Schizosaccharomyces pombe: one gene and its partner. Changing the gene in region 1 together with any one later gene gives a genetic interaction. Each region holds a gene or a part of one and is shown on either strand. Other genes may lie near its edges.

The links.
Region 2: mutations in plb1 (region 1) and amt1 together harm fitness more than expected from each alone (negative genetic interaction), as found in Schizosaccharomyces pombe (one large-scale study listed by BioGRID).

What each region holds. Positions count from the first base shown.
Region 1 is NC_003424.3:1,075,050-1,078,825, forward strand, and holds the start of plb1 (lysophospholipase 1), read right to left. Parts: upstream 1,645-3,776; 5' UTR 1,570-1,644; coding exon 1-1,569. UniProt on the Schizosaccharomyces pombe protein: Catalyzes the release of fatty acids from lysophospholipids. Required for survival under high osmolarity, for normal osmotic stress-induced gene expression, and for nutrient-mediated repression of sexual differentiation.
Region 2 is NC_003421.2:2,066,979-2,070,723, reverse strand, and holds the start of amt1 (plasma membrane ammonium transmembrane transporter Amt1), read right to left. Parts: upstream 1,746-3,745; 5' UTR 919-1,745; coding exon 1-918. UniProt on the Schizosaccharomyces pombe protein: Transporter for ammonium to use as a nitrogen source. Under ammonium limitation acts as an ammonium sensor, generating a signal that leads to pseudohyphal growth.

The sequences.
Region 1 (3,776 bases):
GTTAGTGAAGTAGTTGTAAGGAACGTTGGGAAGATAGATAACCAAAGGAGGAGTGTCACGGGTAACAGTGTGGTTACCAGCAGTGGTGTTACGACCATCACAACCAAAGAAGACAGGGCGATCGTTGAAGTGAAGACTGACAAAGGATTGTTGGCTAGGAACGTAGGGGAAACCCTTAACATTGGTGTTTCCGGCAGCTTGGGCAGCAACGACACGCTCATAAGTTTGGACAAGAGAGTTACCGTTGGGCCAGAGCCATTCACTGTCATCACCATTGTCAACGGCAACGATAACATCGACATCACGACCCTTTTGCAACAAAGGCCACAAAGGAATCTTCTCACCAGTAAGGAAGGTATCAACTAAGTTAAGGGAAGAGCTGGAACCCAAGTTGTTGGCAGCATCAGAATTAGCACTCTCAACACCTTGGAAGGGGTTGGGAATGGAGATGATTTGTTGACCGTTTTCAGAAAAGTTACCTTTCAAGTATTGTTGGATGATACGACCGTTCTTGGTAGAAGAGTCATTGAAGTTACGCATTATCTTGTTGAAGTAAGTAGAAGAAGCACCCATCATGAAACCAAAGTTGTCATAGTTGATAACGCAAGAACCATTGCTGCTAGCACCATTGTTTAAGGTAGTACCCAAGTATTCGGTAGGAATAAAGGAGTTGATTCCATGGTCAAAGGTACCGAAAACGTTGGGGGAAGCTTCAAAGAAAGTAGTGTTAACATTGCTAATATCCTCACCATAGTTTTGGGTAGCAAAGGTAATGATGGGGTAAGGGAAGTTGGCATTGCGGTACCATTCTTGGGAAGTAATACTAGACAAAGAGACATTAGGGAAACCATAAGTAGTGTCACCAAGGGTACGAGAAATCACACGTCCCCAGTAATCGGAAAGACTGATGTTAAAGCCAGCATTGGCCTTTTCGGCAACTTCATTCATAATAGAACTGTAGAAATGAGCGTTGAAAACAATAGCACTCTTGGGATACATCAAAGGGTGGTTGAAAGCCCAAAGTTTGCTAAAGTCGTTAATGGTACTGAAATTGTTGAGAGCAATGCCACCAACAGTCCAGGCACTACCATCAGTACCAACGAGATAGTCAGAGGCTTGAAGGAGACCAGTCAAAACAGTGTGGTTGTCGTGACGAGCATCCATGGCAGAGAGGGCACCAGAACCCAAAATCATGGCACGTAAACCACCACCGGACAAGGCAATACCGATAGAAGGACCTTCAGAGCCAGAAAGAGTATCGGCATTCAAACCAGGCAAGTTGGCGTTACGAAGGAAGTCCTTCATGGCAGTGTTGGTAATAGTAGAACGAGTGCTCAAGTATTCAGACTCGGCGCTAGGAATCTCATTGCTGGAGAGACTCTCGACAATGTTATCAGAGGGACAGTCCACATAATAAGGAGCGTAACTGGGTCCCTCTTGCTTAGTGCTATGCTTCTTGGCACGCTTGAAGACCTTGACAGAACCATCGTCTTCAGCAGCGGGAAGAGCAAGGGCAGAAAGGCAGGATGCCAAAAAGAGCATCCACAGGCTTAATCCGCGGAAAAGCATTTTGAATATTTAAACTAAAATGTTGAGAATAGATATGCAAAGATGTATGCAAATTAAATCCCCAAATGAACGTTCAAAGTTGGGAGTGGGACGGAAAGGGTATATAAGAAAAAAAATTTAATAAACGTCACACGAGTGTATTACTTTCCGAATGACACCCAATCAAGATCTCGGACTGATACTATTCCGTAAGTCGGAGAGGAAAAAGTGGTAAAGTAACAAAAACCTAGAATTTGCAAATAGTGGACGAAAACACAAACCCCACAATAGATAGAACTAAAGAAGGCAGGAAAACGGGACTAAAAACAAAATGAAAGAACCTGGCAAACGAAGTTTAATGCAAAGGTTCAAAATGAATAAAATCTTTTCCCTAAAGGATAAATAATAAATATTCAAAAGGAAGATGTAGGAAAGTGCTAAAAGTACAACGATTTAAAAAGTCCACGACGACCTTTTTTTGTTTGAGTGAGTAATAAGAAAGAGAAAATTAAAAAGGAATAACGACGAGAAAACCGGAAATCGCACCAAAGGATACACTAGGAAAGAAAAGTGTGATGATGATACGAGAAATTATGATGAAGGAATGAGGGAATCACTGAAAAAAGAAATTAAGCCAAATCACAGTGTTGGATCGTAAAATATGTTTTTGGATTCAACTAATGCGAAAACGCTCTCTAACCGAAAGAGTGTTAGTGTTTTCTTTTTTGGGGTATTTTTCAAAGAGCTAAGAAAAAGGGAGCAATCACAAGAAAGGAAAATGCAAAATTCCTCGCTTGGATGGATTAAGATTTAAATAAAAGTAAGGAAGATGATTAGGGATTCCAAAAAACGGAATTTTTTGTTTTGAAACAATGAACAGATCAAGGAAAGTTGTTTGATTGCGATGGTGGTGAAAATGCCTGTGCACCAGCACCACTTATATACCTGGGACCAGTCGCTCGGAACAAGGTTTCAGTGCATACAGTCTATAATTTTACATGGATTATACAAAGAAAAATAAAATAAATCATTTTATGTATTTTATTTTCAAGTTTTTGATTCTCATTTTTTTGACTTCAACTTGCATCTACCCCACAATCTTGACAGAATCCATGTCTGGGGCCCCGTGAGTACCGGCAACTGACCCTCTAAAAATTAGGAAGCAACTGCAACATTGGTCCAGAGCTGCGACGATGTATCCAAGCAACTGGAGTAATAGTGGGATAGAGTTATCATCAAAATAACGCTGCCCACAAGAAAGGATGGGATGTTTGTCTACTGGCAAAAGGTACACTGGGGAAAAATACAAACACTCTACTCACCGTTTAAACCCTTCTATACTACCGCTGGTCAGACAAGCTTCTAATTTTTTTACGGATTCTGTTGTAAATTGTTAGAATTCTTGTTTTTTCTTCGTTGTTCGTCAGTTTAACCCCGCCAAAACCCAAAAAAAAGTGTTTGAAACACTATTCTAAAGGTGTTCGCCCCTCACCATTCCGGTAAGAAATCAGGCAAGTATCCGCTCAAAAGTTTGGCGGGGAAGAAGGAAAAGAGCCTAAAGTCGGACGAACAAATGCGGGGTGGTGTAGAGGAACGCAGTCTAGAACAATGGAGGAACACATGCGCAGTGCAAAAATGTCTACCGCAAGAGCAAGAAAATTTTCGCACCAATTATTAGTTAAATGAGGAGCATCACATGAAAAAGTGGGACATATCCAATCACCTCTCAGTATTTTGTTCACTTTGCTCCCCTCGTTTTCCCATAGTGTGGAGAACATTCATGAAAACCAAACCTTCCGCCAATCAAATTACGGTTTGAAAAATTCTACGTTTCTATTCGCCGTCATTCGGAACAAGCGAGCTTCCACCTTTTACGTTGACATCATTGAAAAATGGAGATAATGGGGTTAAGGAAAGTGTGGGGCTAACCTTCCAAGTTACCTTTCCCTCCATGACGTGGAGTACATTTAGGCTCGTAAACTAACGTGCGTACGTTGGACTAGCTATGCTGCACGCTATTTGTCAAAAAAGGATTTGCAGCATGCGAGCGAAAGTCAACGAAGACGTGTATGCGAGGAAACCGGTGTGGAACAGTGTTCTAGGACTATACCTGAACAAAATTGTGGGGCAAGTTTATTTTCGCTTTTGCTAATGCCCTTTTTTTTTGGCAATTGCCTTGAGTAATGGACATTCAGTGTACTTTGTTTTATTTACAAGCTTAGGAAAAG
Region 2 (3,745 bases), on another chromosome or scaffold:
AGGAACGAAACCGGAGCCAGGAGTAATGGCGACCAAACCAGCGACGGCACCTTCACAGAAGCCGACGACAGACCAGTGACGGTTCTTGGCAAAATCGATAACACACCAAACAATACCACCAACAGAAGCAGCAAGATGTGTAACGACGACAGCCATGACACCACGCATGTTGGCAGCAGCGGAAGAACCACCGTTAAAGCCGAACCAACCAAACCACAAAAATACGGTGCCAAGAACGACGTGGGGAACGTTGTGTGGGCGATATTTGGTAGTACCATGGTCACAACGCTTTCCAATTACGATGGAATAAGCCAAAGCAGCCATACCGGAGGAGATGTGAACGGGAGAGCCACCAGCGAAATCGTAAGAGCCCAACTTGTTCAACCAACCATTAGGATTCCAAGTCCAAAAGGCGATTGGGTCGTAGACGATGGAAGTCCAGAGAAACATGAAGACCATACAGGGAAACATGCGACCGCGATCAGCGGCAGCACCGATAGCCAAAGCGGGAGTAATGGCGGCAAACATACCTTGGAACACGCAAAACAAGATGTCGGGTACACTGGAAGCACCGGAAGAAGGTCTACCCAACGTTTGGCGAAGACCGAAATTGGCGAGGGATCCGATGTATGGACCACCCTCGTGAGAGAAAGTAAGCGAATAACCCCAAAAGAACCACTGAAAGGCAACAATGGCGACAGACATCATTGACAAAAACAGCATAGAAATGGCACTTCTACGACGAGCCAAGCCGGAGTAAAAGAAACCGACACCGGGAATCATGATAAACACCAAAGCGGTACTTGTGAGAATCCAGGCAACATCACCATTATTGTAAAATTGATTAAGATTGACGGTCATGGAATCACCGCCATTGACACCCGAAGGGGTGGGAGTGGCATCGGTAGTGGAAGACATGATTCAAGAAGTCTTGTCTATCTATTAAGAAATGAAGAGAGACCAACACAACCCAAAATAAAGGGGATTAAAAAAATTACAAACAAAAGAGGTTTGTTGGCGAAAAGAAGAAAAGTAAAAGTAAAATAAAATAGTATCGAGACTAATAAGGTATGTATAAATGGAAGGAATTTTTCTATAGAGACAAAAAAAAAAAAACACCTAGGAAATCAAGGACCCAAACGATAAAAAGAAAACACAACAAATTATATATATATCGAACGACCAAGAAGAAATTAGGGGATCGATATTTGAATATTGGGGAGAAAAGAAGAAGAAAAACACTCGAAAAGAAGAAAAATCAAATTTCGAGAAAATAAGTAAAATTAATAAAGAGAAAAAAAAAAGGAATTAAATTATTCTTCTTTTCCTTTGAACTTTGAATTATTTTTGTTTTTCAAATTTTTTTCTTTCTTCTATTACAAAACAAAAAAAAGAAAACTGTATCAACCACCCAAAAACCGATGACGATAAAATAAACAAATGCACGCTAAAGCAGAAGCAGATGTAAATGTAAATGCACGTATCAACAACGAGAACAAAAATTGAACCAGCGAATCCAACAGACTGGAAGTATGAATGAAAGAATAAAACAAAAACAAATATAGAGAAATTTGAATTTGTAAACTACCTAGCTAGCAAATATGCACGCACAAGAGCAAGAAATGCGTAAAATTCAAGTTAAAGAGATGCACTGCAAGTCAGGCGTCAAGATATGCTCTAAGGTTGGAATATCGTTAGATTTAAGGTGCAGGGTGAAATAGGCCAACGTTGGTTATCCGCGTCTCAACCGTACGGTAGGGGAGAGAGTCGGCGGTTTTATATGCGCGCAGATTCTAAGCATCCCTAAAATCTGGTGGTTATCAAGTTTGATAACGGCAAAAATGCAAGGACGCAATTGGACAGCAATATTTTTAATGATTGGTTCAAAGTAACGATCGAGATAAGCAGAGATCTATATCCGACGCAATGATTGGACCAAAGGCGAGCAATGATTATGTAAAGAGATTAACTTAAAGCTTTAGTGGGCAATAGGTAACGAGATAAGGGTATTTAACGATAAAAGAACAAATTCCTTAACCAATCGGACGACTCTGTAACCGAAATCAACCGAACAGAGTTTAGAATGGGTAACGATGTAAGGGTGGTGTAAAGGTGACAAGAGCTGTTTCGGCGGGCGAGCAACAAGGCAATGACAATGACAAAGACAAAAGTAGAGAGAGAGGAGAGAAGATTAAAGAGAGAGAAAAAAGACAGTAGAAAGGAGAGAAAGAAGAAAACAAGTAGAAGTAGAAATAGAAATGGAAATGGAAATAGAAAGATGAAAAATAAAAAAAATAAAAAATAAAAAAAGAGATGCTATGAAAATATACTTCAACAGTTTATTCATTCATTCATTCAAAAAAACAGAAAAAAAAAATTTCAATTTTCCATTGTTTTTGACGTTTCAAAGTCAAAGGCAAAAGGCATTATTGATATGGCTTGGTTTCGCAGGAGGTAGGGTAGGGTAGGGTAGGGTATGTGGTAGTATAATATATGATATGCTAGCTAGTATGGAATATGTTGTGTGCTTAGTTGATATATGTTATGTGCAACTATGATTTGTGCTAGTTGATAAATTGCTATTAAAGGAATCTCTGGAATCGCTTTGATAATGTTTTGTCGTTCGATCGGCTCCTCATCCTTGTTATGACGGTTGTTTTTCTTCTTTTTCCTTTTCTTTTGTTTCGTCCGGCCTATCCATAGTGTCCTGCGACGATCCCGTTCGGATACATGGAAGTAGTTTAATATTCGTATGTGAAAGGAAGGCAGGGAGAGAGAGAAGGAGGGAGAAAAGAAGGAAGAGAGAGAGAAGAGAAAGAGACATGCAAAAAAGAGGATATTCATTTAATTTTCCTTTTTTTTTTTTTTTTTTTTTTTTTTTTTTTAATTTCTTTCTTTTTTTTTTCTTTTCTCTCTCTTTAATCTTCTCTCCTCTCTCTTTTCTCTCCATCGTTCTTTCATCTAATCAGCTCTGCCCTTGTTTATCATCTCTAATAAATTCTTTGATCTTTAATTTGTCAAACGCTAACATGATGAATCATTCATCTCTACCTTGATTTGACTTTTCTTCCCCTGTTTTTTTAAATTTTATTTGTAATTTTCCACTTCCCTATCTGCTTGTTTGTTTGTTCTTGTCTTTTTTTTTTTTTTTTAATAAATTTTTTTTTTTTTGGTTTTCGATTTTTTATTTTTTTATTTTTTAATTTATGTTTATTTTTGTTTATGTATGTTTATCATTTTATTACTTTGAATTTGTAATATCATTGCAATTGAAACGCTTGCAAAATTACCGCCTCCTTCTCATACTTTCCTTATTAATCAATCATCTTTTTGTTTTCCGACTATATTGATATTTTTTTCTTTCATTGTTAATCGACTTGTTGTCTTGCTTCATCTTGGTTCCGCATTTCTCCGTTCATCTCGTTCCGTTGCATGAAAAAGTTCTAGTTCTGGCGAGAGCACTAGAAGTTTTCTAATTTTTTATTTTTTATTTATTTTTGATCAAAGAGGAATCCCAAATCCTATTCTAATCCTAATGCCAATCCTACTCCTGATCCCAAGTGCAAGTGCAATACAATCCCTAATAAAGTAAACTCAAGCAACTTAGAAAATGCATTCTTCAATCTTCAAAATAATACTTCATAATACGCTTTCTACTTTTTCTTTCTAATCCTTTTCCTCCCTTCTAACCGCTTTCACTACTAAAATTGTCGTCAATTCTATTTATTTATTCATTCCATTTTCC